Linked DNA regions of Saccharomyces cerevisiae S288C. The gene in region 1 interacts genetically with each later gene. Each region holds a gene or a part of one and is shown on either strand. Other genes may lie near its edges.

Evidence for each region.
Region 2: mutations in CLA4 (region 1) and SLK19 are lethal when combined (synthetic lethality), as found in Saccharomyces cerevisiae (8 studies listed by BioGRID, with this or other methods).
Region 3: mutations in CLA4 (region 1) and CHS5 together harm fitness more than expected from each alone (negative genetic interaction), as found in Saccharomyces cerevisiae (7 studies listed by BioGRID, with this or other methods).
Region 4: mutations in CLA4 (region 1) and RPN10 together harm fitness more than expected from each alone (negative genetic interaction), as found in Saccharomyces cerevisiae (7 studies listed by BioGRID, with this or other methods).

What each region holds. Positions count from the first base shown.
Region 1 is NC_001146.8:65,414-73,953, forward strand, and holds CLA4 (serine/threonine protein kinase CLA4), read left to right. Parts: upstream 1-3,501; coding exon 3,502-6,030; downstream 6,031-8,540. Other genes in the region: TOS6 (Tos6p), read left to right, coding at 331-639; non-canonical poly(A) polymerase TRF5, read left to right, coding at 1,104-3,032; MON2 (Mon2p), read right to left, coding at 6,260-8,540. UniProt on the Saccharomyces cerevisiae protein: Involved in budding and cytokinesis.
Region 2 is NC_001147.6:711,244-719,420, forward strand, and holds SLK19 (Slk19p), read left to right. Parts: upstream 1-1,622; coding exon 1,623-4,088; downstream 4,089-8,177. Other genes in the region: PEX27 (Pex27p), read left to right, coding at 1-333; TOA1 (transcription initiation factor IIA large subunit), read right to left, coding at 440-1,300; LIP5 (lipoate synthase), read right to left, coding at 4,350-5,594; Ca(2+)-dependent cysteine protease MCA1, read left to right, coding at 5,843-7,141; BFR1 (Bfr1p), read right to left, coding at 7,410-8,177. UniProt on the Saccharomyces cerevisiae protein: Has a role in spindle assembly and stability. Required to ensure a timely exit form mitosis. Essential to maintain pre-anaphase spindle polarity. Associates to the plus ends of the microtubules at the kinetochore and spindle midzone.
Region 3 is NC_001144.5:783,490-791,593, forward strand, and holds CHS5 (Chs5p), read left to right. Parts: upstream 1-4,174; coding exon 4,175-6,190; downstream 6,191-8,104. Other genes in the region: nicotinamide-nucleotide adenylyltransferase NMA1, read left to right, coding at 1,424-2,629; REC102 (Rec102p), read left to right, coding at 2,953-3,126, 3,224-3,844; JIP3 (Jip3p), read right to left, coding at 7,180-7,557; MID2 (Mid2p), read left to right, coding at 7,187-8,104. UniProt on the Saccharomyces cerevisiae protein: Component of the CHS5/6 complex which mediates export of specific cargo proteins, including chitin synthase CHS3. Also involved in targeting FUS1 to sites of polarized growth.
Region 4 is NC_001140.6:496,280-503,119, forward strand, and holds RPN10 (proteasome regulatory particle base subunit RPN10), read left to right. Parts: upstream 1-2,799; coding exon 2,800-3,606; downstream 3,607-6,840. Other genes in the region: AIM18 (Aim18p), read right to left, coding at 36-1,001; AIM46 (Aim46p), read right to left, coding at 1,211-2,143; NBL1 (borealin), read right to left, coding at 2,292-2,440, 2,508-2,580; PPX1 (exopolyphosphatase), read right to left, coding at 3,671-4,864; SMN1 (Smn1p), read left to right, coding at 6,109-6,840. UniProt on the Saccharomyces cerevisiae protein: Multiubiquitin binding protein.

The DNA.
Region 1 (8,540 bases):
GAGTCACTACATTGATACTGATCTTGTACTTCCGAATAAGGCACCGCCAGATCAATTCTGTCTGATTTTGGCGTCTTCTGGTATAGTCTTGTAATGAACGGTGGTGATTCTCGAGGAAAATAAAATTCGTGATAAATACATGCATGTGTATATATAAGGCGCTATATATGGCCTTGAAACTTTGTTATTACGCCTACTCCATCTTTATTGGTACATATATCATTTAAAAGAGTAGTCCATAGAAAACCAACTGCATTCCTTCCTTATCCCTGCCTTCGGCTAATTTTAAACCAACTTTTTACCTTCCTTTAATATCAATATCAAAATACAATGAAATTCTCTACTCTCTCCACCGTTGCTGCCATTGCCGCATTTGCTTCCGCAGATTCCACCTCTGATGGTGTCACTTACGTAGATGTTACCACCACCCCACAAAGTACTACATCTATGGTCTCCACCGTGAAAACTACTTCCACTCCATACACTACAAGTACCATTGCCACTCTATCCACTAAATCTATCAGTAGCCAAGCTAACACCACCACCCATGAGATCAGCACATACGTCGGCGCTGCCGTTAAAGGCTCCGTTGCGGGTATGGGTGCCATCATGGGTGCTGCTGCCTTTGCTTTGTTATAAGTTGCATGGACAACTTAAACTAGGAAGGATATTCCGCTTCATTTCATTAATTTCACATTTTTTTATCTACATGATATGTATTTTCCCTCAGTTACCAGATTCGCTAGCTTCGAAGCAAGGACTCCTTGGTCATACTTAATAAAGGAACGTCTGCTTCATTCTCCTAAAGTTCCTTTCGATAAGGACGCAGAAGGCACCTTACTAGACCATTGTATAAACTCATAACTACATACTAATTCAACGATATGTTACATTTATTTTCTTGTGGTTACCCCCCGCAAATTTCCAGGCATCTCATCTCATCGCAGTTAAAAAAAAAAAAGTTGTAAAAAGGTAATAAAGCGATACTTGATGAAAGCAAACATCTGTAATAACAGTTCACAAGGTTAAGCTGGTTCGTTTCACTAGCGTATCATTTTTTATTTTTCAAATAAACAAACGAGGGCGGAGTTTATTGGGTCGTCATGACAAGGCTCAAAGCAAAATATTCACCTACAAAAGGTAAAAGAAAAGAAGATAAACATACAAAACGTATGCGTAAATCATCCTTCACAAGAACGCAAAAAATGCTTGAAGTATTTAACGATAATCGCTCGCATTTTAACAAGTACGAGAGCCTCGCTATCGACGTTGAAGACGATGACACTTTCGGAAACCTAGTCTTAATGGAAAATGATAAAAGTGATGTCGACATACCTGTAATAGAAGAAGTCACATCAAGTGAAGATGAACAAAGGGCAGAATCTAGCAAAAGAAACAATTCTCTCGAAGATAATCAAGATTTTATTGCTTTTTCGGACAGCTCTGAAGATGAAACAGAACAAATAAAGGAAGATGATGATGAAAGAAGCAGTTTTCTGTTGACCGATGAACATGAAGTTTCTAAGCTTACTTCACAGCAATCTCTGAACACTGAAAGCGCTTGCAATGTGGAGTATCCTTGGATAAGAAATCATTGTCATTCGAAACAAAGGAGAATAGCAGATTGGCTAACTTCAGAAATCAAAGATTTCGTTCATTATATCTCTCCAAGCAAGAACGAAATCAAGTGCAGAAATAGAACGATCGATAAACTACGCCGGGCGGTCAAGGAACTGTGGTCGGATGCAGATTTGCATGTGTTTGGTTCTTTTGCCACCGATTTATATTTGCCGGGTTCTGACATTGACTGTGTCGTAAACAGCCGGAATCGCGATAAAGAGGACAGAAATTACATTTATGAATTGGCGAGACATTTGAAAAACAAAGGGCTAGCTATAAGAATGGAGGTTATTGTTAAAACGCGAGTGCCTATTATCAAATTCATAGAGCCCCAATCACAGTTACATATCGACGTTTCATTTGAAAGAACGAACGGGTTAGAGGCTGCAAAACTCATCAGGGAATGGCTAAGAGACTCTCCAGGGTTACGTGAACTGGTACTGATAATAAAACAATTTTTGCATTCAAGACGATTGAACAATGTGCACACAGGAGGATTGGGAGGTTTCACAGTAATCTGTTTGGTTTATTCTTTTTTAAATATGCATCCGCGAATAAAATCAAACGATATCGACGTTCTAGATAACCTGGGTGTTCTACTGATTGACTTCTTCGAACTTTACGGAAAAAATTTTGGTTATGATGACGTTGCTATAAGCATATCTGATGGTTACGCCTCTTATATTCCTAAATCGTGTTGGAGAACTTTGGAACCTTCAAGGAGTAAATTCTCGCTAGCTATTCAAGATCCTGGTGATCCTAACAATAATATAAGCAGAGGCTCCTTTAATATGAAGGATATAAAAAAGGCCTTTGCTGGTGCCTTCGAACTGTTGGTCAATAAATGCTGGGAATTGAATTCTGCTACATTCAAAGACCGCGTTGGAAAAAGTATACTCGGAAACGTGATCAAATACCGTGGGCAAAAGAGAGATTTCAACGACGAAAGAGATTTAGTGCAGAATAAAGCCATCATTGAAAACGAGCGCTACCACAAGAGGCGCACGAGGATAGTTCAAGAAGATTTATTTATAAACGACACCGAAGACTTGCCAGTAGAGGAGATCTACAAACTTGACGAACCTGCAAAGAAGAAACAGAAGGCAAAAAAGGATAAGAGAGAAGGGGAAATCAAAAAGAGTGCCATTCCATCTCCACCTCCGGATTTTGGAGTGAGCAGAAGCAAATTGAAACGCAAAGTGAAAAAAACTGATCAGGGCTCTCTCCTACACCAAAACAACCTCAGCATAGATGACTTGATGGGACTTTCTGAGAATGATCAAGAATCCGATCAAGATCAAAAAGGAAGAGATACCCCTTCGGGACAAGATGAGAAATCACCACTGGAAACTAAGACAGTAGATGCTCAAACGAGAAGGGACTACTGGCTCTCTAAAGGCCAGGCTCTTTAACACAATATAGACTCTTATAGACTATTTACTATTTATACAAGAATACCACATCGATGTCCAAGTGAAACAATAAGCTAATGATATCAAACGCGTGGGTATTTTCCCTTTCCGGAAATATAGAGCCACCAAAAAAGGATAGTTTCCCGATATGGAAATTTTCTCGAGCCGGTAAGATGACGAAATTTTTCATCTCTGGCATGATAGAAACATAGTATGGAACGTGCAGGAGAGTCTGATTCGAGACACATAATTTGAAAGAACCTTCTAGCCTGAGCCTTGTACATGTATTAGCGTTGCCAGTTATTTGCTTCTGCTGCTAATAAGATCAAAACCTTAAGTCCTTTATTTCGATCGAACGTACTGCGCTACTGAAAACCATTGCATCTTTTGCTATCATTCATTCCTGGTGGTTTCTTTGGTGTAATAAATCGAACAGTGAAACTGAAACATAAAAGAAATAGTGCAAAATATGTCTCTTTCAGCTGCAGCGAATAAGATATCTGACAACGATTTCCAAAATATCGGACCGGCACCTAGACCTCCCAGTTCAAATAGCCAGGGCCGTACTTGCTATAATCAAACGCAACCTATAACCAAACTTATGAGTCAACTGGATTTAACATCAGCGTCCCATTTAGGTACAAGTACCTCCAAAAAAAAAAGCGGGTGGGTGTCCTACAAAGATGACGGTATACTTTCATTTATATGGCAAAAGAGATACCTGATGCTACACGATTCGTATGTAGCCCTTTACAAGAACGATAAACAAAATGACGATGCGATCTTGAAGATACCACTAACTAGTATTATAAGTGTAAGCAGGACACAGTTGAAACAATATTGTTTTGAGTTGGTGCGCTGCAGTGACCGAAATTCTGTATCATCAGGATCCTCGTCCTCTTTGAATGTATCATCAGACAGTAACTCCAAAAAATCAATATACATTGCTACAAAGACAGAAAGCGATTTGCATAGTTGGTTAGACGCCATTTTTGCTAAATGTCCATTATTAAGTGGTGTATCTTCTCCAACAAACTTCACACATAAAGTTCACGTTGGTTTTGATCCAGAAACAGGTAGTTTTGTTGGTATGCCCACCAACTGGGAAAAATTATTAAAGCACTCCAGAATTACAGGAGAAGATTGGAACAATAATTCTGCGGCTGTCATTCAAGTGTTGCAGTTTTATCAAGAGTATAATGGAGCCGGAAATCCCACAAATACTTTAGACAAGCCTCAAAGTGGTGAAACTTCCTCCTCTCAAAAATCGCTGCCAAACAGCTATAATGATAACAAACTCAGAAATAATTCAGTAAATTCAAAGTCATCTTCAGGCGTTTCTTCAAGTATGGTATCACAGAGGAAAACCTCACAACCACCAAATACCAAATCGCCTGTTTCTCTAGGAAGCGGCTCACTGCCACCAATAAATACAAAATTGCCCACTAGTCAGTCAAATATTCCAAGACACTTACAAAATGTTCCCAACCAACAATATCCTAAGATGAGAAACGGACACTCCCCAACCAATGGCCAATTTCCTAGGGGACCTATGCATCCAAACAATTCTCAACGATCTTTGCAGCAGCAGCAGCAGCAGCAGCAGCAACAAAAACAACAGCATCAACAATATCCATACCACCATCAAGGACCATCTCCATCTCCATCCCCATCTCCGTCTCCATTAAACCCTTATAGGCCACATCACAATATGATAAATCCTTATTCCAAACAACCTCAATCGCCATTAAGTTCACAGTCGACCCAAAACCAAGCAATTCCACGTTATGCACAAAACTCAAGTCCTACAGCCGCACACTTTCAACCTCAAAGAACAGCTCCAAAGCCACCAATATCAGCTCCAAGGGCGCCATACCCATCAAATCAAAATGCTACTAGTAACACACATGTACAGCCTGTTGCACCTAAGAATGACCAGTCAACCCCACAAACAATGAGGCAGGCCCCAAAGAGACCGGATGCAGATGTCGCACAACCGGGTGGTGTGGCCAAACCGAAGAAGCCAGCAAGGCCTACCATGTCAACTGCAGAAATAATGAGTAAGCTGAAGAAAGTCACCGTAAATGCGGATCCATCTCAATGCTTTAAAGTGATCGAGAAGGCCGGTCAAGGTGCAAGTGGGTCCGTCTACCTTGCAGAGAGGACGCATATTCCGACAGAAAGTAATATGATCGAACTCATAAACAATGATATTGATGAGCCGCACGTAGGAGATAAAGTTGCTATCAAGCAAATGGTCTTATCTAAACAACCTCGTAAAGAACTCATAGTGAATGAAATTTTGGTTATGAAGGATTCACGTCATAAAAATATCGTCAATTTTCTCGAGGCTTATTTGAGAACAGACGATGACCTATGGGTTGTGATGGAGTTTATGGAAGGAGGTTCACTAACAGACATTATCGAGAATAGTCCCACCAACGATAATTCACATTCACCACTAACAGAACCCCAAATTGCATATATCGTACGAGAAACTTGCCAAGGCTTGAAATTTCTACACGACAAGCATATCATTCATAGGGATATTAAATCAGATAATGTCTTGCTGGACACTAGAGCTAGGGTGAAAATTACCGATTTTGGGTTTTGCGCCAGATTAACTGATAAAAGAAGCAAAAGAGCCACTATGGTTGGGACACCTTACTGGATGGCACCTGAAGTTGTCAAACAACGTGAATACGATGAAAAGATTGACGTATGGTCTTTGGGTATCATGACCATTGAAATGCTGGAGGGTGAACCACCATATTTAAATGAAGATCCACTAAAGGCGTTGTACTTAATTGCAACTAATGGTACACCAAAGCTCAAGCATCCAGAAAGTTTGTCTTTAGAAATTAAACGCTTTCTAAGCGTTTGCCTTTGCGTAGATGTTAGATATAGGGCATCAACCGAAGAGCTTTTACACCACGGTTTTTTCAATATGGCATGTGATCCAAAGGATTTGACATCACTGTTGGAGTGGAAGGAATGAAGCACACAACTATTTCTATAAGCATATCATACATACTACAATCTTATGTATTTCTTTTCTTTTAGCTATGCATACCAATGGCATAATATATAAATACGTTCACCTTAAAAGTTTTTTTTTTAAAGTAAATAAAAAAAGACCTGCAACGATACAATAATCAATCCAATGTCGTTTAATATTACTATTTATCCTACGTGATTTTTAAAAATATTCGTCCATGCTTCAGCTTCTAGTCTAGTTTCGTAAATCCAAGTGATAATTCCAAAACTTTATCTTGGAGGCCATCCATTTTATGAGATACTGGGATGGTTCTTAAAATCAACGGACTTAATGTTTGTAGGTTTTCAACTCCAATTTGTTTGTTGCCAAGGGTCGAATTTTGATCTAGAACACCTCTTAAAATCACGCATAGCCCATTTAATAGAGTAGCTAGTTCTGTTTTACGCAATTTTGGTATTGGTGCTCGCCCAATCAAGTATTCATCTGAGATATATCTTCTAAGAGCAAGGGCAATTCTTGCAGAAAGATAAGGAGCAGTTAACTTTCTTAATTTCTCGTTTGTGTTCAACATAAAATTAACCAAATCTTGCAAGCACTCTAAAGAGCACTTATATTTTGTCTGAAAGCGAGGATTTGTGGTGGATCCAAATATACATGAAAAATCGAACGAAGATAGTTTTTGAGACAATTCAGAAAACGTACCACAGTCTTGCATCAAAGCATTTTCTAATTCATCGAATTCATATAAAAATGAACAATCCCAGACGGCATAAATGAAAGTGTCTAATTGCCTTTCATTGAAGAGATCAATGATTCTGTTTTCCAGCAATATCTCCCTATATTTGGAATACTCATTCAAATCGTCTATCTCGGTTAAATTATCGAGCTCTGGGTTGATTCTTTGTAATGTGACAACAATAACATTTATAAATAAATCACAAAAGTTATCCTTTAATGGATTTTCTGCATCTTCTTGGAGTGATTTGAAAATTTTGTTCGACAAATCACAGAAGCAATTGGAAGCAAGAACCCATATGGGGATTTCATCACTCTCTGACCCTGTAATAAGCGATTTTCGCTTGATGATTTCAGCCAAATTTTTCAATATTCTTAAAATATGCTTTGCTTTCAGTGTGGATATACCAAATTGATCTATTTTTGCTATTCTATTTCTCAGGTTAGAACATGACATATAGCTGATTGCCTCAAAAGTTGGTAACCTGTTAAGTGATGCTTTTGGAAGCTTTGGTCCAAGTTTTTTTGTTATTTTTTCCCTTGTATCAAAAGCCAATATCGATATTGTACTTAACTGGAGAAGAATCAAAATTTCTGTATCTTTAGAATCATTTGTCATAAATATATCAAGTCCAGACAATATGGCCTTTTGCATAGAGGACGGTTTAGTTTTGTCTTGGACAAACTCAGGTAAGAGAGGATATTTTATGGCAGAATTGAATAAAAGAAGAACTTTTTCCACAAATTCATCTGTCATCGCATCGTATTTCGATATTAATTGGTAAAGAGGAGGAAATCCGGTTATTAGTTCGTATATACAATCGTATTCAGTTTTGCTCGATGCGTTTGTGGAGAGATCACTGTACGTAATATTGTAGTCGGTAAATATTTCGCAGCACTTTTTCAATATATCTGATGGAACGTCCTCAATAGTGATGATTTCTTTCAGCAGGGTTTGATAATTTAATATTACAGCATTCTTGGTATTATTAGAAGTGGAAGACAACAATCTTTTCAAAAAATCTAATAACATTGACCATTCCTTGGCGCAGGTAGTGTTGTTTTTGAAGTCCTTAAAGTGTTCCGGATAAAGCTTAATTAATCCTTGCAATGTTACATTTATAAAATCAGTTTCATTTTCGAGTTCTTCAGTGGACCATTCCTTGGTAAGCAGTGGTTCAATAACCTCTAAGAAAATTAGGTCCCATGGGGGGAAGCAAACAGAATGGGAGTCGATGATTCTGAAAAAAGTCTGCACAGCACCGTTTTTAACTTCTACTCTATCATCATTAGTACAATTGATCAAATTTTTCAAAAGATATATCCATAATCCGTTGTAAAGTTCCCAATCATGAGATGAACTGGATGTAATGATTTCAATTAATTTTTGATTATTAATCTTTTCGGAGAGACTTCTACGTTTCTCATCACTTAAATTTAATGTTTCGGGATTGAAGCGGACTCTGAGATAATCTCCAACTAACCAGAACTGACTAATAGAAGAAAAGGAGATATTAAGATTTCGCTTCTGACTTACGAAATTGACAAGCGTATCAATAACGAATTTAATGACACTCATAGGTAAACTCTGTAAGAAATCATCAGAAATTAGTTTAAAAACATCGTATGACACTTGGATCATGTTCTTATGCTTCTGAACGATACCTTCAAATAAAGATGAATCATCTATATCCTCATTCACGGAAAAATCAGTATCCTCAACTGTCCACTCGAATGGTGAATTAATGATGTTGAAAATATTGGTCCAAGAGTTC
Region 2 (8,177 bases), on another chromosome or scaffold:
ATTGAACAATGGCGACAGCTAATAAGAGATGAAATTTATTTAAGTATCTATAATACCAGTGGTAATGCAATAAAGGAATACGAGTTAAAGTACAAACTACCTACCAATGACAAAGTCAATTTGGAGTTACGGAAAAATAATATTACATTGGATTTTTATAAGATAATACTAAACTTATTGTCTAATCTAATTAATATTAAAGGTAAAAGGGACAAATATAACTCAGAGCTAGCTTACGAAATAATTTCAGTAGGTTCCGGTGTTACTGAACTCCTTAAGCTATGGAACCGAGCCAAAGTCACTTCGGCTAATGAACATACAAGCGCTGTTTGACAACAGATGACCAAGTTCGTTGCATCCCTCTTTATTTCGTTTTTTTAGTTTGATATTATAGTACTTGTATATATACATTTTTTCTTCTTTACGTCTAAAGATTTAGTTATACCCACTCCGCTTCCACTTGAGCTTTTTGGAATGTGTAGTCATTTCTATTGATGGTCACCACACCATCTTTCAGACTACATTTCCATCTCGCCTTTGTTCTTGTGACTTTATCATATAAGCACAGCATTAAGTTCTCATCTGGCCCATCCTCTTCACCCTCCGAAATTAGATAGTCATCGTCGGAATCATCTAGTTCTGAACCGACCTCATCCGTATCTAATAATGCACTTCTTTTTTCCTTCTTCGCTTGTAATTTTACTTGTTCTATCTGCTCCTTTTCCTTGCGGGTTTTTTCCACGTCCTCCTCCTTTTCCTCGTCGTCTTTCTTCTCACTTTCATCATCTATGTTTTCGACGGTAGTTATATTGGCATTATTAATAGTAAGTTCTATTTCCGGTTTTACTTCAATTTTAGGCTGGCTAGTTACGTCCGCATTTGTATTACCACTAGTATTTGTGTTCAAGGTAGCACCTGAATTATTAGTTGCTTCTACCGTATTCGTATTAATATTGGTCTCTCCAGAGTGCGGTATGTTGTTGTTGGAATTGATATTTGGCAAAATTAGACCTTCATTACCGGTATTCTCCTCCTTAATATTGAACTCGCTAGAATTTACGCCGGGGGTAGCAAGATTGAAATTTAAGTCGTTCTGTACACCATTGATATTTCCTTCATTGAACTGATTGTCCCATGAAAAAGTAGTTACCTTCGTCTCTGTGAGCTTTTTTTGCCAAATATTTTTTAGGTCTTGTAAAGTTTGTTCATCGATACCCGCATTTTCAAAGTCCTCTCTTACTTCATTTACCACAGACTCTACGATAATCTCGTACACTCTGCTGGCCTCTGCATTCGACATGATATCCAACGATGTCCCTTGTGTATGGCCTTGATTTGTGTGATACTATCGCTTTTCTTCTTTGAGCTTGCCCCCGATAATATGCCGTATGGCTTTATCCACCTTGTTATTTGGCTTCTTCATCTTTTCTTCAACTGTCTCACATCATACTTGACGAAGCTTTTTTTCGCGTTAATTTATATTCTTTATTTATTTATTTATAATTCAGAGTGTACGATGAGTTCCTCTTTAATGGTTCATTTGAAGGACACTAACTAAAAAGAGCATCATTGGTGTCAAGGGGCACCCAGTTAAAAAAGGTTTTGAGCACATATCGTAATTCATGAACGAAGTTCCTACCACTCCAGTTAGGCTTATTTTAGGGCAAGCTCAGCAACGCGAGCAGAATTCAGAAAACTGTTCGCAAGAACGTAACCCACGCACGTTTAATTCCGAACCGGATTCCAGCTTTAACTCTCCTGGTTCCTCCCAGTTCGTGATACATCCTCATGAACCGCTCGAGAAGGAGAAAGATGAGAAGCAGGATTTAGACCGCTCGATTGATTACGGTAGGTCATCAGCTCTTAACAACAAGAATAATGCCAATCCATTAGAGAATATAGACATAAATAAAATGTTTGATGACAAAAAATCAGATTCAGGTACCAATGATGATAAAGGAGGCGCAAGTACTAGTGATAAGCATGTCCTTGCATTGAATTATTCACCGATCAGAGTTGAAATGAACTCCTCAGAGAAACGAAGCGACAAAAACGTGGACGTAGATGAAAATGATAAAGAAGGTAGCCATATTAATAAAAAATTGAAATTGCAGTTAGAATCAGTACCTGATTTGAAACAAAGCTCTACTAAAGATATCATTAATGACAAAGAAGAAATTATGTCGTCTCCAATGGCGATTGATATGATTGAGACCAACATAAGCCCAAATAAATTCATAATAAACGACGGAGTTGAAAGAAACGATAGTTTCAATATCAATACCGACACACTTAAATTAGAAAATGATATAAATGAGAAACAACAAGAGGAAGACTTCATAAAATCTAACAGTAACAATGTGGTTAATATTGACAATGCTTATAAGGAAAAGGAGGACGAAGAAAATGATATAACAAATTCTCATATAAACAGGCTTACTCCTTTGTATGAGACTTCTGCAAGGGAGTCGAACTCAAATGAAGAGGGGAGGAATGACTACGATGATGACAACCAACTTGATATTAGACATGACAATTTTCAGATTGTAGCAAAAAGAAACGAGGAGCTCACTGATCAGATATATCACTTAAATCAAATGTTAAACTCTTTGATTTCCAAAAATGAATCATTGTCTTTTCAATACGAGAAATTGAACAAAAATCACCAACTACTAATAGATTTGACAAATGAAAAGTTAGATAAACTAAATACAGAAAGAGAGAGCGATATTGCCAAGGTGGAAAAATTCAAAAAGAGGATTAAGGAGTTGAATACAGAAATTAAGGTATTGAATTCCAACCAAAAAATATTACAAGAAAAATTCGATGCCTCAATTACTGAAGTAAATCATATAAAGGGCGAACATGAAAATACTGTCAACACTTTGCAGCAAAATGAGAAAATTTTAAATGATAAAAATGTAGAACTGGAAAATATGAAAGCAGAATTGAAAGGCAATAATGATAAATTATCCGAATATGAGACCACGTTAAATGACTTGAATTCTCGCATTGTGCAACTGAATGATAAGATTGAAAGCACAGATATTGTTTTGAAATCTAAAGAGAACGAACTAGATAATTTAAAATTGAGTTTGAAGGAAACTTTATCGATTTCTAAGGACTTCAACGACTCTGACCTTATAGGACAAATTAATGAGCTAATATCTACAAAAAACAACTTGCAACAAAAAATGGATGATTTGAATAACCTGAACGACGATAATTTGAAGGTAGTACAGGATAAATTAATTAAAAATGAGGAGACGCTAAAACTAAAAGAAGCTGAAATTGATTCATTGAATAGTGAAATGGACGAGCTAAAAAAACAGATCACTTCAAAAGATGATGAATTTAAGATGTGGCAAAGTAAATACGAAACTGTCGAAGACGAAGCTAAGATACGCAATGCCGAAGTTACAGAGTTGAACGGAGATATTGAAGATCTAAAGGAATCAAAATTGCATTTGGAAGAAACAATTACGGAACTAGAAAACAAAGTTCATAAACTAGAAAATGAGTGTGAACTGGAGAAACAAAAATTCGAAAAAACTTCGCTAGAATTAGAAAGCTTACAACTAAAAAATAGTAACATTCAGGCTGAGCACATCAAAGAATTGGAAAATCTTCATGAAAACCTTATTTCTCTTCAAAATGAATTGAAGATTTCATCCGACAGGATAACAACATTAACAAAAGAAAATGAAGTATTAATGGAACAAAATAATAATAACAATAATAGCGTTACTTTAAGCAATGATCAAAAGGATAGAGATGATGAAAAAATTAAATCATTAGGAAAACAAGTACAAGATTGGAAAGAAAAGTATGAGGCCAAAGAAAAAGATACAAATAAAAGGCTAAAGTTATTAGCAGAAGATTTGTATATCCAGTATTCATCCAAACACGAACAAAAGGTCAAACTGTTGAAAAAAGGCTATGAAAACAAGTACCAAAATAAGTTTGATCAATTAAATTTAGAAAATAAAACTCTGTCAGAAGAAATCGAGCAATTGAACAAGCAGCTGTCTTCAGAAAGAGAAGAAAAGCAGGAGTTACTCAAGTTGTTAGAAAATGAAAAAAAATAAACGCATTTTTTTCTTTTGCATTTTATCTTTTCCCTTAATATGTCATGAGAATAAAATATTAAGGATATACCGTAAATATACAAATTCGTATCGAATATTTGATATTGTTTCCTAACTTTTCTGTGTTAAAAATAAATATGCAAAAACATACTAACCATAAAAATAAATAAAATACAAGATATAAATAAATAATCCAGCAAGCAAAGACATTGCGGTCCATGCCATAATTGTTTTCTTCCAACTATTAGATTTCAGTGTGCATTATTTCATGTTTCTTTTCTTCAAAACGTTCTCAATAAATGCTTCACCAGCCTTATATGACGATCTTACTAGGGGTCCAGATGCACAATACAAGAATCCCATCTCTAAAGCTCTCTCTTTCCAGTAGTCAAACTTTTCGGGTTTCACATATTCTACGACTTTCATATGTCTCTTGGTTGGCCTCATATATTGACCAAATGTAACAACATCACATTGAATATTGCGCAAATCCTTCAAAGTTTGAGTAATTTGCTCATCAGTTTCTCCTAGACCCAGCATTATTGATGTTTTAGTAATCAGTGACGGAACCGTAGCTTTTGCCCTTTCTAAAACACTCAAAGACTGTCTATAAGTAGCTCTTCTGTCTCTGACATGTGGTGTTAGTGATTCAACTGTTTCCAAATTATGTGCGTAAACATCAAGCCCACATTGTGCCATAATGTCCACCATCTTCAAATCACCTCTGAAATCACCAGAAAGAGTCTCTACAAGAGTATTTGGTGCCTTCTGTTTGATTTTGCGAACCGTCTCGGCCAGGTGATTAGCACCACCATCGACTAAATCGTCCCTATCAACGGTAGTTAAAACAACATAACCCAACCCCCATCTTTTGATAGCTTCGGCAGTATTTTCGGGCTCCATTGGGTCCGGCTTACTAGGCGTTCTATTGGTCTTCACAGAACAAAACCTACATCCACGAGTGCAAGTATCACCAAGCAGCATAATTGTTGCCGTTGCCTTAGATTTATCTTTGCCTCCCCAACATTCACCAATATTGGGACATCTTGCCTCCTCACAAACAGTACTCAGGCCTAATTCTTTTACGTCGCCTTTCAATTTATGGTAATTGGTACCCTTAGGAATAGGAACCTTAAGCCAACGAGGTAGTTTTTTAGCTTCCTCTGTATTTTGCCTTGCCTTCTCCAGAGGGTCCAAGATCATTTTCGAAGCTTTACCTGAAACAAAATCTGCAAAAGATGGACCCAAATTAAGAGCATCTTTGAACTCTGTAATTCTTTTTCTGTTCCCCTTGCGTCTTTTTCCCGAAGTCCCTGTTAACTGACTGGTTGCATTTTCAACCTCAGTTGAATTTCCAACTGGTACCCTAACGCTAGCGTTATCTGAATCAGTATTCAATGCATTGGATCTTATTGGCCGAGTTGCGCTCGTTCCACACCTAATAGTGGACGAAATCCATCTTGTATTTCTCCCAACAAATAGTACTCCAACAGATCGTCTATACATTATTGTGGCTTAACAGTTCTCCTTAAAATCCACATAACTGACAAAACTGGATACTTAATGCCCATCGAGTCATATACATATATTTGATTACTACAAGTGCTTTTCAAATAACTGCTTCGAGAAAAGCGTCCGGGTAATAACAACTATTGAAAAAGCATGGCTTCGCATTAATAGGAGCCAAAAATATGAAGATGAGCCTCGAAGTTTATCTAAACTACCACCAAAGAAGACCGACTAGATTTACAATCATGTATCCAGGTAGTGGACGTTACACCTACAACAACGCTGGTGGTAATAATGGCTACCAACGGCCCATGGCTCCTCCACCTAACCAGCAGTATGGACAGCAATATGGTCAGCAATATGAACAGCAGTATGGACAGCAATATGGGCAACAAAATGATCAGCAATTCAGTCAGCAATATGCTCCACCACCAGGTCCTCCCCCTATGGCTTATAACAGGCCTGTGTATCCCCCCCCTCAATTCCAGCAGGAACAGGCAAAGGCACAATTAAGCAACGGCTACAACAATCCTAATGTAAACGCATCCAATATGTACGGTCCACCCCAGAATATGTCATTACCTCCACCTCAAACACAAACTATTCAAGGTACAGACCAACCTTATCAGTATTCTCAATGTACTGGGCGTAGAAAGGCTTTGATTATCGGTATAAACTACATAGGTTCAAAAAATCAACTGCGTGGTTGTATCAATGATGCTCATAACATCTTCAACTTTTTGACTAATGGGTACGGTTACAGTTCAGATGACATTGTCATATTAACTGATGATCAGAACGATTTGGTCAGGGTTCCCACTAGGGCTAATATGATTAGGGCCATGCAATGGTTGGTCAAGGATGCGCAACCCAATGATTCTTTGTTCCTTCATTATTCTGGACATGGTGGCCAAACTGAAGATTTGGATGGGGACGAAGAAGATGGGATGGATGATGTTATATATCCGGTCGATTTCGAAACTCAAGGGCCAATTATCGACGATGAAATGCACGATATAATGGTGAAGCCCTTACAACAAGGTGTTAGACTAACAGCATTGTTTGACTCTTGTCATTCGGGTACAGTGTTGGATCTTCCATATACCTATTCTACTAAGGGTATTATTAAGGAGCCCAATATTTGGAAGGATGTTGGCCAAGATGGCCTGCAAGCAGCTATTTCATATGCCACAGGAAACAGGGCTGCTTTGATTGGTTCTTTAGGTTCTATATTCAAGACCGTTAAGGGAGGTATGGGCAATAATGTGGATAGAGAACGCGTGAGACAGATCAAATTCTCAGCAGCAGATGTTGTTATGTTATCAGGTTCGAAGGATAATCAAACTTCTGCAGATGCTGTCGAAGATGGGCAAAATACAGGTGCAATGTCCCACGCCTTCATCAAGGTTATGACTTTACAACCACAGCAATCATATTTATCTCTTTTACAGAACATGAGGAAAGAATTGGCTGGTAAGTATTCTCAAAAACCACAATTATCATCGTCACACCCTATTGACGTAAATCTGCAATTTATTATGTAGAAATATATGAATGTGTACGTTGGTAGATGTATTCAGACTGGTGTAGTATGTGATTCAATTTTTATTTTTTTAGAAAGCAGAAACAATCTAAGCTATTAATACTATATACATATAGGCAAAGATATATAGGGAATAGGCATTTTGGAAAATAAGACCATGTGTTTTTTTAACGTAGTGAATACTAAGTACAGAAAAAAACATCACCTCAACCAAAGAAAAATTAAGTAATGAAGAAAGATCAGGAGAAAAATTTTTTTCTACTTCAGGTTTAATTTTCTTTATCTTTTTCAGACTCTTCCTGTTCTTTCAATCTTTTTTCTTCCAATTCCTTTTTTACTTGTTGCTCTTTGTTAGAGTAGTCCAAATTTAATTTCTCAATTTCCTTTTCGACAGATTCAATGTTTTGTTTTGTTTGCTCTTCTTGTTTCGACAAAAGCTCTTCATGCTTCTTCTTCAATTGCTCAACGGTGATCTTGACATCATCACTGTTGATTGGGACAGTTACGTCTAATTCGGCCAAAGTAGCAATTAGTGTTGGTTCTAAAGTAAACTTGCCATCGACTTTGTTGAAAATAGAAGCAGGTTGCTCATTTTCAGTGTTCTTCTGTTGGTTCTTCTTCTTGTATTTCTTAGATTTAGATGGAGCAACATTGACAAAATCATCCTTCTTTGGAGTGACCAAAACCAAATCATCAGCAACAACTTTTCTGGCAGGCTTGGTCTCCAAAGCATTGCTACTCAAGTCAGGCAGGATGTTTTTCTTTGGTTTCACATAAGTTGGGTCCAGGACAAGCAAAGAATTCTCAATGGCACCGATTTCATAAGTGAAGGCTGGAATCTTGGCATGAGTCAACTTTTCTTGCAATTTACCCATATCAACATCTTTCTGTTCCAAAAGTTTGGATAATCTTTGTTCTTCTTCACGTTTCAAACGTTCTTTGTCCAATTTGGCTCTGAATGATTTGAATTCGTTGTCAAAGTCAGCTCTGATCTGTCTGATTTGACTGTATAATTCGTCACGCTTCTTGTACAAGGC
Region 3 (8,104 bases), on another chromosome or scaffold:
TTACATAATAAAAGGAGTAGAAGAAAGTGGTAGAGAGGAGTACAAATCTACCTGCCAGAACTCTCTCCTTATATATATTTCCAGTGGTGTCTGGATTACCTACCTCAAGCCATACCATATCCATACCATATCCATAAACGCCTACAAAATTTCTACCCCAATCCAGCAGCTTCTATCACTATCTCGTATACCACCATAGGCACCACCACTGTTTGTGTAAATTTACTCCTGAGGGGGGGGTGGCTCAACACGGTGTAGGCCTTCTTCCCGCACAATCCGATGAAACCCCACAATCGCCTCCGTCTCTTCCACTGTGCACGGCGCTAGCTCAACATCTTCCCCGCCACATTTACTGTGGCAAAGAAGGTGCATAATCTAAAAAAACATACGTATGAGAATGGAAAGGGCAAGATAATATCGGACCGTAGTGAGTCACTTGCTTTTGGTATTGCAACCAACTGCCGCCCCTCTTCCCGCTCTTGCACCAAAACGCTAAATGCCCATTGTGATGGCTCATCCACCCTCACGACGAAGTAAGACCCGGGGCACAAGAAAATACGAGATCATAACAGTTCGAGTCCGTTTATTGTGTGCGGTTTTGGTACGCTTTTTCGTGAGGTGTACTACCATTCATGAGAGTCGTTTTAGGAGCTGTCATGAAAGATATGTATCTTGTTGATGAACTGTAAAAATTTGCAGAAATTGCGCTATTCCGTTTATTTCATTGTCGATTCGGTGTTAATATTAGGGGTACAAAATATACTAGAAGTTCTCCCTCGAGGATATAGGAATGCGCAAATGGGCATTTGATGTGACACAAAATTTGGACAATATAACGATTCATTTTTAGATCGTTGTTCAACCGTCCCAGTGGCCGAGTGGTTAAGGCGATGCCTGCTATTTCCTCAGAAAAGCAATTAGGCATTGGGTTTTACCTGCGCAGGTTCGAATCCTGTCTGTGACGCTTTTTTTAATTTCTTTACTCCATGACAAAAGCGGATAAAAATTCCCGCATTCGGCGTAAAAAAATCCGGTTTTTTTTTTAGCACTCGCTGTTTTTGCCTCTACCGGGTGAAAAATGACGATGAAGACGGCTGGAATTGCGCTGCATCCGCTTACGTAGGATAGAACACCTACAAAGATTTACGAACTTTATTGCTCGAAGATTCGCTATCCATATCTTTTTAGTTTCCCCCCATTTCACAATGGGATACCGTTGTTTTTTCTGTAGGTACGCTTTCTCATAGTTAATAGAGTCAGTAATTCATTTCATTTTTTGCAGAAAGGAATTTCTTCACCTAATTTAGAATTTCATCAACATTTATTGTATCTGCATGGTATAACAAATTAGAAAAATTTGGAAGGGAAAAAAAAACTGTTGCGTCAATTACTTATACCAGGGATAGAAAAAAAAAAAGGAAACATGGATCCCACAAGAGCTCCGGATTTCAAACCGCCATCTGCAGACGAGGAATTGATTCCTCCACCCGACCCGGAATCTAAAATTCCCAAATCTATTCCAATTATTCCATACGTCTTAGCCGATGCGAATTCCTCTATAGATGCACCTTTTAATATTAAGAGGAAGAAAAAGCATCCTAAGCATCATCATCACCATCATCACAGTCGTAAAGAAGGCAATGATAAAAAACATCAGCATATTCCATTGAACCAAGACGACTTTCAACCACTTTCCGCAGAAGTGTCTTCCGAAGATGATGACGCGGATTTTAGATCCAAGGAGAGATACGGTTCAGATTCAACCACAGAATCAGAAACTAGAGGTGTTCAGAAATATCAGATTGCTGATTTAGAAGAAGTTCCACATGGAATCGTTCGTCAAGCAAGAACCTTGGAAGACTACGAATTCCCCTCACACAGATTATCGAAAAAATTACTGGATCCAAATAAACTGCCGTTAGTAATAGTAGCATGTGGGTCTTTTTCACCAATCACCTACTTGCATCTAAGAATGTTTGAAATGGCTTTAGATGCAATCTCTGAACAAACAAGGTTTGAAGTCATAGGTGGATATTACTCCCCTGTTAGTGATAACTATCAAAAGCAAGGCTTGGCCCCATCCTACCATAGAGTACGTATGTGTGAATTGGCCTGCGAAAGAACCTCATCTTGGTTGATGGTGGATGCATGGGAGTCATTGCAACCTTCATACACAAGAACTGCCAAGGTCTTGGATCATTTCAATCACGAAATCAATATTAAGAGAGGTGGTGTAGCTACTGTTACTGGAGAAAAAATTGGTGTGAAAATAATGTTGCTGGCTGGTGGTGACCTAATAGAGTCAATGGGTGAACCAAACGTTTGGGCGGACGCCGATTTACATCACATTCTCGGTAATTACGGTTGTTTGATTGTCGAACGTACTGGTTCTGATGTAAGGTCTTTTTTGTTATCCCATGATATTATGTATGAACATAGAAGGAATATTCTTATCATCAAGCAACTCATCTATAATGATATTTCTTCCACGAAAGTTCGTCTATTTATCAGACGCGCCATGTCTGTACAATATTTGTTACCTAATTCGGTCATCAGGTATATCCAAGAACATAGACTATATGTGGACCAAACCGAACCTGTTAAGCAAGTTCTTGGAAACAAAGAATGATTTGCCGTCCGGAATTGCTTCGTTCTTTCTTTCATCTTTCTCTTTACAATTTCCAATTTTCCCCTACAGGAATTAATTGGAGGGTACAAGCGAGTAGAAATGTGACATATGACTTACCTATCTGTGTTTTAGTATAGTTTTTTTTTCTGTAGTATAATTCACTTTTACACTAATTTTTTCGCCTTTTTCTCTTAAAGAGCTAATTTCTATAACCTTCAGCGGTTATACCAAATATAAAAAATGGAAGGAAAACAAACAGTAAGAAATAAGCGCAACAGCACGTTAGTTCACCATTGGATTCCAACATTTCAAAATTTAATCTAATGGCAAGAGATATCACATTTTTGACCGTATTTTTAGAAAGTTGTGGCGCTGTAAATAATGATGAGGCAGGAAAATTGTTATCTGCTTGGACTTCAACCGTACGCATTGAGGGACCGGAATCAACCGACTCTAATTCATTATATATTCCACTGCTACCACCTGGAATGTTGAAAGTATGTTTCTCCTAGCAAAATTAAAACCCATCCGTGAATGAAGCGTTACTAACTATAATAACTGGTAGCTTTGTCACTCGTACCAGGAAAAGTGAAGATTAAACTGAATTTTAAAATGAACGATCGATTAGTTACGGAAGAGCAAGAGTTGTTTACAAAATTGCGCGAGATTGTAGGTTCAAGTATTCGCTTTTGGGAGGAACAACTGTTTTATCAAGTTCAAGATGTAAGCACCATAGAAAACCACGTCATTCTCAGTTTAAAATGTACAATTTTAACGGATGCTCAGATAAGTACGTTCATAAGCAAACCCAGAGAGCTTCATACGCATGCCAAAGGATATCCTGAAATCTATTACCTTTCCGAGTTATCAACAACTGTCAATTTTTTTTCTAAAGAGGGAAACTATGTCGAAATAAGCCAGGTTATTCCTCATTTTAATGAATATTTTTCCTCTTTAATAGTGTCTCAATTGGAATTTGAATACCCGATGGTCTTCTCCATGATTTCAAGGCTCCGATTGAAGTGGCAACAAAGTTCGCTCGCTCCGATATCCTACGCCCTAACGAGCAATTCAGTACTTCTTCCAATAATGCTTAACATGATTGCCCAAGACAAATCTTCAACAACCGCGTATCAAATTCTGTGTCGAAGAAGAGGTCCTCCAATTCAGAATTTTCAAATTTTTTCCTTACCGGCTGTAACGTACAATAAGTAGCATGCATAAAATATAATTTAATCAAATACTTTTGGGCAATTAAAATTTTAGTTAACAATAGTTATGCAATGCGCTTTATGTTCATATGATACCGTTTATAAGCTATTGCCATATCCTTATCTTATTGCTTCCAGTAGCCTCGAGTCGACCACTAAAAAGATGTCACTTAAGACGGAAATTATGTAGCTGCACTTCTTTTTTAACAAGTTCGGTCGGCCCTTCAAGTTCTCCTTTCTAAAGCCTCATTATTTATTGCGTAGATGCTAAATGTTATCGCGGTTTAGCTTGCATGTTACGTTTCCGTTTTAGAACCTGGTCGAGTAGCGAATAATGTCTTCAGTTGATGTACTGTTAACAGTAGGTAAGTTGGATGCCTCATTGGCGTTACTGACTACTCAGGATCATCATGTTATTGAGTTTCCTACAGTATTATTACCAGAAAATGTTAAAGCTGGATCTATCATAAAAATGCAAGTTTCACAAAATTTAGAGGAGGAAAAAAAACAAAGGAATCATTTTAAGAGTATACAAGCCAAAATTTTGGAGAAGTATGGTACCCATAAACCGGAGAGCCCAGTTTTGAAAATTGTTAACGTTACGCAAACGAGCTGTGTTCTAGCATGGGATCCATTGAAACTTGGCTCAGCAAAATTGAAATCACTGATCCTTTATAGGAAGGGAATACGTTCAATGGTAATTCCAAATCCATTCAAAGTGACTACCACGAAAATATCCGGTCTTTCCGTTGATACGCCATACGAATTTCAATTGAAACTGATAACCACGTCAGGAACATTATGGTCTGAAAAGGTTATATTGCGTACACATAAGATGACTGACATGTCTGGTATCACTGTATGTTTGGGTCCATTGGATCCATTGAAAGAAATTTCAGACTTACAGATATCCCAATGTTTGTCTCACATCGGGGCGAGACCTTTACAACGTCATGTTGCGATAGATACTACGCATTTTGTCTGTAACGATCTAGACAATGAAGAAAGCAATGAAGAGCTTATAAGGGCAAAACATAACAACATACCAATTGTCAGACCGGAATGGGTGAGAGCTTGTGAGGTTGAGAAAAGAATCGTTGGTGTTAGAGGATTTTACTTAGATGCAGATCAAAGTATACTGAAAAACTACACATTCCCACCAGTTAATGAGGAAGAACTTTCGTACTCAAAGGAGAATGAGCCGGTAGCCGAAGTAGCGGATGAAAATAAGATGCCCGAGGACACAACAGATGTCGAACAGGTTGCATCACCTAATGACAATGAGAGTAATCCTTCAGAAGCTAAGGAACAAGGAGAAAAGAGTGGACATGAAACTGCCCCAGTAAGTCCTGTAGAAGATCCATTGCATGCTTCGACGGCTTTGGAGAATGAAACCACCATCGAAACCGTCAACCCCTCCGTAAGAAGTTTGAAAAGCGAACCTGTTGGTACTCCCAATATAGAGGAAAACAAAGCGGACTCTTCCGCAGAAGCCGTGGTAGAAGAACCGAATGAAGCTGTGGCTGAAAGTTCTCCAAATGAAGAAGCAACGGGACAGAAAAGTGAGGATACCGATACACATTCTAACGAACAAGCTGATAATGGATTTGTACAGACTGAAGAAGTAGCTGAAAACAACATAACCACAGAAAGTGCAGGGGAAAATAACGAACCTGCAGATGATGCAGCAATGGAATTTGGACGTCCAGAAGCTGAAATTGAAACTCCAGAAGTAAATGAGTCTATAGAAGATGCCAATGAACCTGCGGAGGATTCCAATGAACCTGTGGAGGATTCCAACAAACCTGTGAAGGATTCCAACAAACCTGTGGAGGATTCCAACAAACCTGTGGAGGATTCCAACAAACCTGTGGAGGATTCCAACAAACCTGTGGAGGATGCCAATGAACCTGTGGAAGATACCAGTGAACCTGTGGAGGATGCCGGTGAACCCGTACAAGAAACCAACGAGTTTACTACCGACATTGCCTCTCCAAGACATCAAGAAGAAGATATAGAACTTGAAGCCGAACCTAAAGATGCTACCGAAAGTGTTGCAGTCGAGCCATCCAATGAAGATGTAAAACCAGAAGAAAAAGGTTCAGAGGCAGAAGACGATATCAACAACGTTTCCAAGGAGGCTGCCTCTGGTGAGAGTACTACCCACCAAAAAACTGAGGCCTCTGCTTCTCTTGAAAGCAGTGCCGTCACGGAAGAACAAGAGACAACGGAAGCCGAAGTAAATACAGATGACGTTTTGTCCACTAAAGAAGCTAAAAAAAATACTGGCAACAGCAACAGTAATAAGAAGAAGAATAAGAAGAATAAGAAGAAAGGGAAAAAGAAATGATTAATGGATGCCTTCAATGAGTTCCACGACGCACGTTTATTTTTTCGACTGAGAATCCCTCAGCAAATATAATCTATTTTTTATATATCTGTGTATATGTAAGCATGTATAACTAGTTACAAATATGATAACTGCTTTGGCGATCACTTCATTTTCTTGAGAGGGGTACTCAGTAGCCGCCAAGCACGAAATGTCCGTTATTAAAAATTGGGGAGTGAATCTTAAAAGCCCGAAAAGGAAATTCAAAATCTGTCTATTTATAGGCCGTCGCGCTCTACGAAAACGCGAAATTATTCAAACGGAAAACGGAAAAAAATCTAAAAAAAGAAATTAATTGAGAGATCTCACGGAAATGCCGCGAGGAATGTTTCTCGAGGCTGAGCGGCGTGGTCTGTGCAAAAAAATGGCAATTTTTTTGTAGGAGTTTGCATTGGGCCATTCAGAAGGAGCACCGTTAGATGGGATGGTAAATGAATTTGCTGTTTCAGATTTGAATCAATCTTTACCCGTTATTTTTGCCGTTTTGCTTTCATAATCTGCAAATTAACAAAGTCATAAAGAACATAAAGACATCACCCCAGTTTTTACACTCTTTTTTCCTGTGTTTGGTTTAGCACAACTTTCCAATAACCAAGTTGGTTTCAGATCATCCCCATATTATTTTCTAGTTTCATTTACTTACCAAACTCACCATTCAAGGCTTTCAAATTAAGTTACGAGTACAGTGGACCATTTTTTTCTGATTCTTCATATTTTCCGTTATAAGTCTTATAAGGAAGGTATACATTTATATTGCGAATTTGAAAAATAATTTAAAGCTGACTTTGCGTTTTAGGTAGGCTAGAAAAGAATACAACTATCCCTAAACACATTCTAGATTCACGAAGACGCCTCTGCCTCAAAGACATACTATATTTTTACTCTCGTTGAACAAATAGTACCATTATTTCGCTACTTTCGTTGAAGATTGGACATATAAAATACGCAAATCATAGTATGTTGTCTTTCACAACCAAGAATAGTTTCCGCTTATTACTTTTAATACTGTCATGCATATCGACGATACGCGCACAATTTTTCGTGCAATCATCATCTTCGAATTCTTCAGCAGTATCTACTGCACGTTCTTCCGTAAGTAGAGTTAGTTCTTCAAGTTCCATTTTGTCATCCAGTATGGTTTCTTCCTCAAGTGCTGACTCATCTTCCCTTACTTCATCGACATCAAGTAGGTCCCTCGTGTCACATACGAGTTCGTCTACCAGCATTGCCTCCATATCGTTCACATCATTCAGTTTCTCATCAGATTCAAGCACCAGCAGCTCTTCCTCTGCTTCTTCAGATTCTTCATCCTCCTCATCCTTTTCCATCTCTTCGACATCCGCAACTTCTGAATCATCGACGTCTTCTACGCAAACGTCAACATCATCTTCATCCTCACTGTCGTCAACGCCGTCCTCTTCATCATCCCCATCAACAATCACTTCTGCACCTTCAACCTCCTCCACACCATCCACTACTGCCTATAATCAAGGAAGCACTATCACCAGTATTATTAACGGTAAGACGATTCTCTCAAATCATTATACTACCGTTACGTACACACCATCAGCAACCGCTGATTCAAGCAATAAATCCAAAAGTTCGGGTCTTTCTAAAAAAAATAGAAACATCGTCATTGGTTGTGTGGTTGGTATTGGTGTACCACTGATTCTGGTGATACTGGCTTTAATTTACATGTTTTGTATCCAATCATCAAGGACGGACTTTATTGACTCAGATGGTAAGGTCGTTACGGCATATAGAGCTAACAAATTTACGAAATGGTGGTATATGCTTTTGGGTAAGAAAGTTAGTGATGAATACCACTCCGATTCACCATTAGGTGGTAGTGCATCGTCCGCAGGTGGTTTAGAC
Region 4 (6,840 bases), on another chromosome or scaffold:
GTGTAGAGGTATGAACAAGACTAAATTCTAAAAGTTTAGAGGAGTGTGATCAATTTGTCGATAGCTGTTTTTTTGGCTTGTGGAGAAGGAGATTTTTCGCCACATAAATATTGGCTAAATAAGAATTTTCCGACGAGTTGATTATTAACTACTCCCATGACCTCAAATTCGTTGTTTTTACTGTCATGATATGAAAATTGTAAAGCGCCGTTGGCTAATAATTCGATGATCAAATCGTCATTTTTCCTGACGGATCCCTTACGTGAAAAGGCATCATTTAACTCACTTAGGCCCTTCGCCAGTGTGTCTTTATTATTGGCCACATCGGGATGTTTAGAAATAGTTTTGACCAGGCCCTCCTTAAGATGCTTAAAATCTGTATTCCTTACGGGAGTTATCTTGGCTAGCATTCTCATTCCAGAATCCAGTAAGTCATCAATCATCATAACGGATTTTGAGTCATCACGTTTCAATAATCTAGCTAGATTCTCCTTAGGAGTCTTAGAATCATCCACATCAAGGAAATATTTATGTAAATAAGTTTCATTTAGAGTGTCTGAAACAAGGTTTTCGTCATTTTCAGCTAGATAAAGACCCAAGGCATAGACCTTGAACCTCAAAAACGTGACGTGCCTTTGACCATATCCCAGTAATTTAAAAGTTGTAGAGACAGGGAAATTTAAAGCAGTAATCGTTAGTGGGAAATCTGATACGCTAGAGTCTACCTGTATCGATTCAGTATGAGAAGGAAAAGCATCAGTTTTATCGTCATTTTGTACCGGACGATCACGGTAGTATAACGAAGTAGCGAGCAATGTTGACGCCGCAAACCAGGGCCAATAGTGGAACGTCGAATTAGAACGCCCAGGGTATTTAGTGGCTCGTATACTAGTAAAATTTCTTTTGAAACATTGCCAATGGTTGGTTGATGGAGATTTCTGACATTTAGCTAGTGTTCGCTGGAGTGATTTTAGCATATTGGCGCACCTTCCTCTGTCCATGAAGGGATTCTATCGCGGTTGTAACGCCGTAAGAGTTTTGAATTGATTTTTTCTTGTCAAAACCGAATAGCATTGTAAACATTTTGAGGGGTCCCTCCTAGAAAAATTGAGTCGAAAGGAAACTCAAAAAAACATCATTAGAGTATATGTGCAGCTTTTGGAACAGCGTATGTATTATGTAATTGTATGTAGAAGTCGGCGAAAGTGTCCTAAGATAGAGAGACGAGTGCATCGATTACTTCCTTCCTAGCCTCCGGAGAAGGAGGATCCACAGCAGCTAGGTAGTGGGCAAATAAGAGCTTTCCAATAAGGGGTTCCTTCACTGTGCCCAATATCACAAATTCATCCTTCTTTCTTGCGTAGTAAGACAAATTCATAGAGCAGTCCTTATTCAGCTCAATGAAAAAATCATCATCTCGAGCCACAAGTCCTTTTACGCTCCTGAAACAGTCATGCAATTCTTGGAATCCAGCTTCCAGCCGGTCTTTGTCTTGAGACTGAGAATCTGGGTTCTTTAGGACGCTCTTTTTGGTGCCGTCCATCAATAACTTGAAGGAACCTGCTTTTATCGGAGTATTCTTGGACATTAGTCTGATTCCGCTGTCTAAGAGGTTATTAATCAGGATAGGGGCCTTAGCAGGATCGTTCAAAGCCGCACGCAAATTATCCTGATGTGAGTTTTCCGGTGATGGGGGTGCCGCAGTGTCGATGAACGCCTGAGACAGGAACTTTGAGTCCAGTACTTCAGAGACCAGATGTTTGTCTTCAGCGGCCACATATATGCCCAGACCATATGCTTTGAAAGTGATCGATGAGACACAACGTACACCCTTACCAATCAGCTCATATTGCGTGGAGAAGGGCCACTGTGGGGGGCCCATCTTCTTAGGGAACGCAGAGATGGATGCGTCCACTGCAACGCTGGTGGCATCCGCCTTTTTGATCTGGGAATCGTCATACCATTTCTTCGCGAATATGGATGCCAGTGCTAACCCTGTTAACACAGGCACTACTTTGCTGCCCTTCTTGTTCACACGAGCATTGCCCGCTGTAGTAGAGTAGTGAGAATACCATTGTGGGGCCCTCCTCATACCTACCTCTAGGCAATTTGTTTTCACCAAAACTTTACTGATTAAACGCATGTTTCCATATACCTGGCCTTCTGCTAAGTAGACATGTATTCAACAAGGGGATGTAACCACACGCTGCTTTAATACCAACAAATCGGCCGCTGATTAGTAATAGGTGCATCATTGCGAATACCGAGAAAGGGTCCATTATACGAACTAATCATTCTATACGGCGTCCTTCCTGTTCAAGCACCTCTCTGATTAGTTCCTTTGATTGAGGCGCTGATGTTGCATCAGGCTGCTGGAGCAGATTTAGTTTCTTTAACGTCTCCTCTTTAATATTTTCGATCAGTTTTTCTGTTGTTTCCACTGAGGTTGTGTTAGTAATTAGTGCGGGTGAAGGTTGGGGGTAGAGTGTTGCGGTGAGGTGACATACGTTCCAGCTGCATTCGATGTAGTATTGCGCTGCGCAACTTCTGCCGTTCTTCGGGAGTGAGAGCCGGTATCATCGTAACCGAGTGCGGCAGCTGCCCTTTTGCTGATGTTGTTGCCACTTCTTGTTTACAATTGTATTCTCTTGAAGTTATATGGCATTATAGCTGCCGGGTTATTTCCGCCAGGCGGGTTTTCGCCACCGGAATTTACAACTAAATACACACTTATATCAGACTTTTAAAGCGTAAAGAAAGAAGGGAAAAGTCAATAAATAACTCAGCAGTAACCGCACAATGGTATTGGAAGCTACAGTGTTAGTGATTGATAATTCAGAGTACTCTCGCAATGGCGACTTTCCTAGGACAAGGTTTGAAGCCCAGATCGACTCGGTAGAGTTCATATTTCAAGCCAAGAGAAACAGCAATCCTGAGAATACAGTGGGTCTTATCTCTGGTGCTGGCGCCAACCCCAGGGTGTTATCTACGTTTACCGCCGAGTTTGGGAAGATTCTTGCTGGACTACACGACACGCAGATCGAGGGTAAGCTGCATATGGCCACTGCGTTGCAGATCGCTCAGCTGACTTTGAAGCATCGCCAGAATAAGGTCCAACATCAAAGGATTGTGGCATTTGTGTGTAGCCCAATAAGTGATTCTCGAGACGAATTGATCAGATTGGCAAAAACACTGAAAAAGAATAATGTTGCCGTGGACATCATCAATTTTGGAGAGATTGAACAGAACACGGAGCTTTTGGATGAGTTCATAGCTGCAGTGAACAACCCTCAAGAAGAAACTAGTCATTTGCTTACTGTGACGCCTGGCCCCAGACTGCTGTACGAGAACATCGCATCTTCACCCATAATTCTCGAAGAAGGATCCTCCGGTATGGGCGCCTTTGGTGGGTCTGGCGGTGATTCCGATGCCAATGGCACATTTATGGACTTCGGGGTAGACCCATCAATGGACCCAGAACTGGCAATGGCCTTGCGTCTGTCTATGGAAGAAGAGCAGCAAAGACAGGAAAGGTTAAGACAGCAGCAACAACAACAAGATCAGCCTGAGCAGTCTGAACAGCCTGAACAACACCAAGACAAATAGTAGTGTACAAAAATATCTATATGGGTCATATATAAACCAAATAAAGCATATATAACATCTCCCTTCACTCTTCCAGGTTTGAGTACGCTTCCTCTAAATAGGGGACGACTTGCTTTCTGGTGGCCTCGACGTTCAGTTGCTTAAACATCGCCACACCTCCATCAAGATTGCCCCCAAATAATTGAAGTTGGAGCTTGTCGCTAACCCTTTCAATGAGTTCACGTACCACGTTAGAGTCTCCCAATATGACCAATTCTCTGTGTGAATCACCAGCTTTCCTCCATGAAGTCAACAGAACCAATACATCGAGCCCCCTCTCCGCCTGAAATCTTCTGCATTGGTTGACGAAATCTGCTTCACCACCGTGTTCATTGAATAGCCAAGACATTCTTTTTACTATTGATGAAAGACCAATCTCTAACCCTTTGTGTCCCTTTCCTTGGAAATTGAATTGTTTGTAGTCCTTCTTTAGAATATCGCTTACCGAAAATCCTTTAATATCGTTCTTTCTTGATTTTATCTCTTTATAAAACTCACTGCTGTCCTCTAAACCTTGCGCAGACACTTCATTAACCGCACCACTAAGAACAGCTTGGCATCTCTCGATAGCTAATTTATCACTTTCCTCGACTTTGCGCCTCATATTTGAAGTGTCTATTAAGATGGCCCCCATCAAAAGTGGTGCAATGTTCATCACCACTTCACGGTCACCTTGCAATTTTTCATACCAGTAGTTAAAAACCAGCGATGAGCAACTGCCGGACACTTTTACAATCCGAGGTTCAGCATCCAAATGTTTTTGCAAGTCAAAATGGTGGTCTATAATGCCAACGACGTTATCTATATAATTTTTCAAATTCTTTGGTGTATCGTTATTATCTACCAAGTAAGAGTTTAATTCAGTACCCTGGGAGACATTTTGCTTCAAGCTCTTTAAATCTTCAATGAAGAATAATTCCTCCTCCTTAATTTTCAGTTTTTCTAGGACATACATTACGTCTCTTCTTAAACTGAGGTCTTCTCTAGGAATGTCGATAATTGGGACAATAAAGCTTCCTTTCTTTTTCTCCTCCGAGTAAGTACCTTCATTATATATGTATTGGCAGTACGAATAAGTGATTGCACTAGCAATTGAGTCCATATCTGCTGACTCGTTACCAACACATATTGTTAACACATCGTTGCTTGCAATTTTTGAAATTGGCAGTGATTTTAAGTGTGCCAAAAATTCAGGAACCGTCTTTCTCAAAGGCGACATCTTTCTTAACAATCGGTGTTTTGAACTTTTTGATTATTTGTTTCAAGTGGCTTTAGTTAATTATGTACACTTCGTTTCTTTTTTCTACTCTTAAAAGTGAAAAAAATGAAAAATCAGCGGCATGTATAGCATACAGATAATAGGAAAAAGGTTGTGAGTTATTCTTCGAGACTATTTCGACTCGTATTCTAAATTAGAATTCAAGTAGGTGGATAATGTGACAAAATGAATGAAGGTTAGAGCTTTACACAGAGTATTATCCTCGGCGTTTTCTATCAAAGCTTCTGGTTATTCCATACTTTTTTCAAGGACAGCAGAAACATATGCCATTTTACACCTCCTGGGAAAATAATTTGTAATTTTCTAGTGACTCAATGCTTGTTGAAAGTGATCTTGTATAATGAGTGTACACATGAGATGTGCAAATTTCTTCATTACTTAGCGAGAAGTGTACACTCTTGAATATAATAACACTAACAGTGGAATCATCGGTAATAATAATACTATTGATCGTAGTGAAAGCAAAACACGACTGTACTTGAGTTATAAATTTTGTTGCTGTAGAAATTTCAGTGATCATTCATTAGCAACTTATTAAGATGACGATTATATTTTACGGTTCTTTTCACAAACCATTATACTTGCTAAAGGTTGTAAAAGTCATACACTTTTTAACATCAAGATTTCAGTACAACAATTTCTTACATGTAAAATCGTTTGCAAATTAAGTTCGCCAAATTGTATCTTAATTAAAATCTATGTGTTCAGAAGTTGAATATTGGTAAAAAGAAACAAAATGTATAAACGAACGAAAAAGGAAGTGATCAAAATAGAGTAAGGAACCAAGGCATTAGGTTCACCCGAACGTTATCATATATACGCTCATATTATTCCAAGAAAGACACATTTGTCTAGATAGGTTTCGGTAAAGGCGTCCGTAGTTAGAGAGTAGATGGCACTAACTTGAAAGCAGGAAAACAAACAATTGTGTTCCAGAGCAAACTCGAACTTTCTATCTGAACCATTGCATGACGTAAAATTATTATTACAACCATAATGAAACATTTCTACAGTATATCTTTAATATTATTTTTTACTTTAGTGTCCTTATCGATCAGTCGCTCTTTCGCCAACTAGCCGCCAATTGCAAAAGCCGATAAGCTTATTTCCCCTCAAGCCGTCAACAAGAACTACAGCAATAACAAAGAGAGTGAATGCAATAAAGGTGTGCGCAACAGTGTAAAATGATACTAAAGCTTGTACACTGTTTAGTTGCTCTTACAGGATTAATCTTTGCAAAGCCGTATCAACAACAACAGGCAGTTTTAGCGCCGTCGCAGGATGTACCATTAAGAGATATCCATATAGGGGATATAAATTTTATCCATACAACCGATACTCATGGCTGGTTGGGGTCCCATCTATCACAAAACGACTATGATGCTGACTGGGGAGATTTCGTTGCATTTGTAGATATACTTAGAGAAAAAATTTTACGACAGTCCAGAGACGTAATAGTCATCGACACTGGCGACAAACGAGACGGTAATGGTTTGAGTGATGCTACTTGGCCCCCCGGCCTACGAAGCTCGGAGATATTCAACATGATGGATTACGATCTTTTAACGTTAGGTAATCATGAGCTATATACAGCTGAAAGTGCCATACTAGAGTATAGAGGAACTTCTCAGTCCTCAAAATTCAAAGACAAATATGTTTGCAGCAACGTAGAATTTATTGAAGATGACGGAACAAGGGTTCCTTTCGGGAATAAATACATTACATTCGAGACTCCCATAATGAAACAAAGAGTCCTGGCATTATCATTTTTGTTTAGTTTTCAAAGAGCAAATAACAGAGCCATCGTAACACCACCATTGGAAGAAATAACTCAAAAAAGCTGGTTCCAAAATATGGTTGAGACAAACAGAGAGGAGGAAATCGACCTAATTATTGTCTTTGGTCATTTGCCTGCC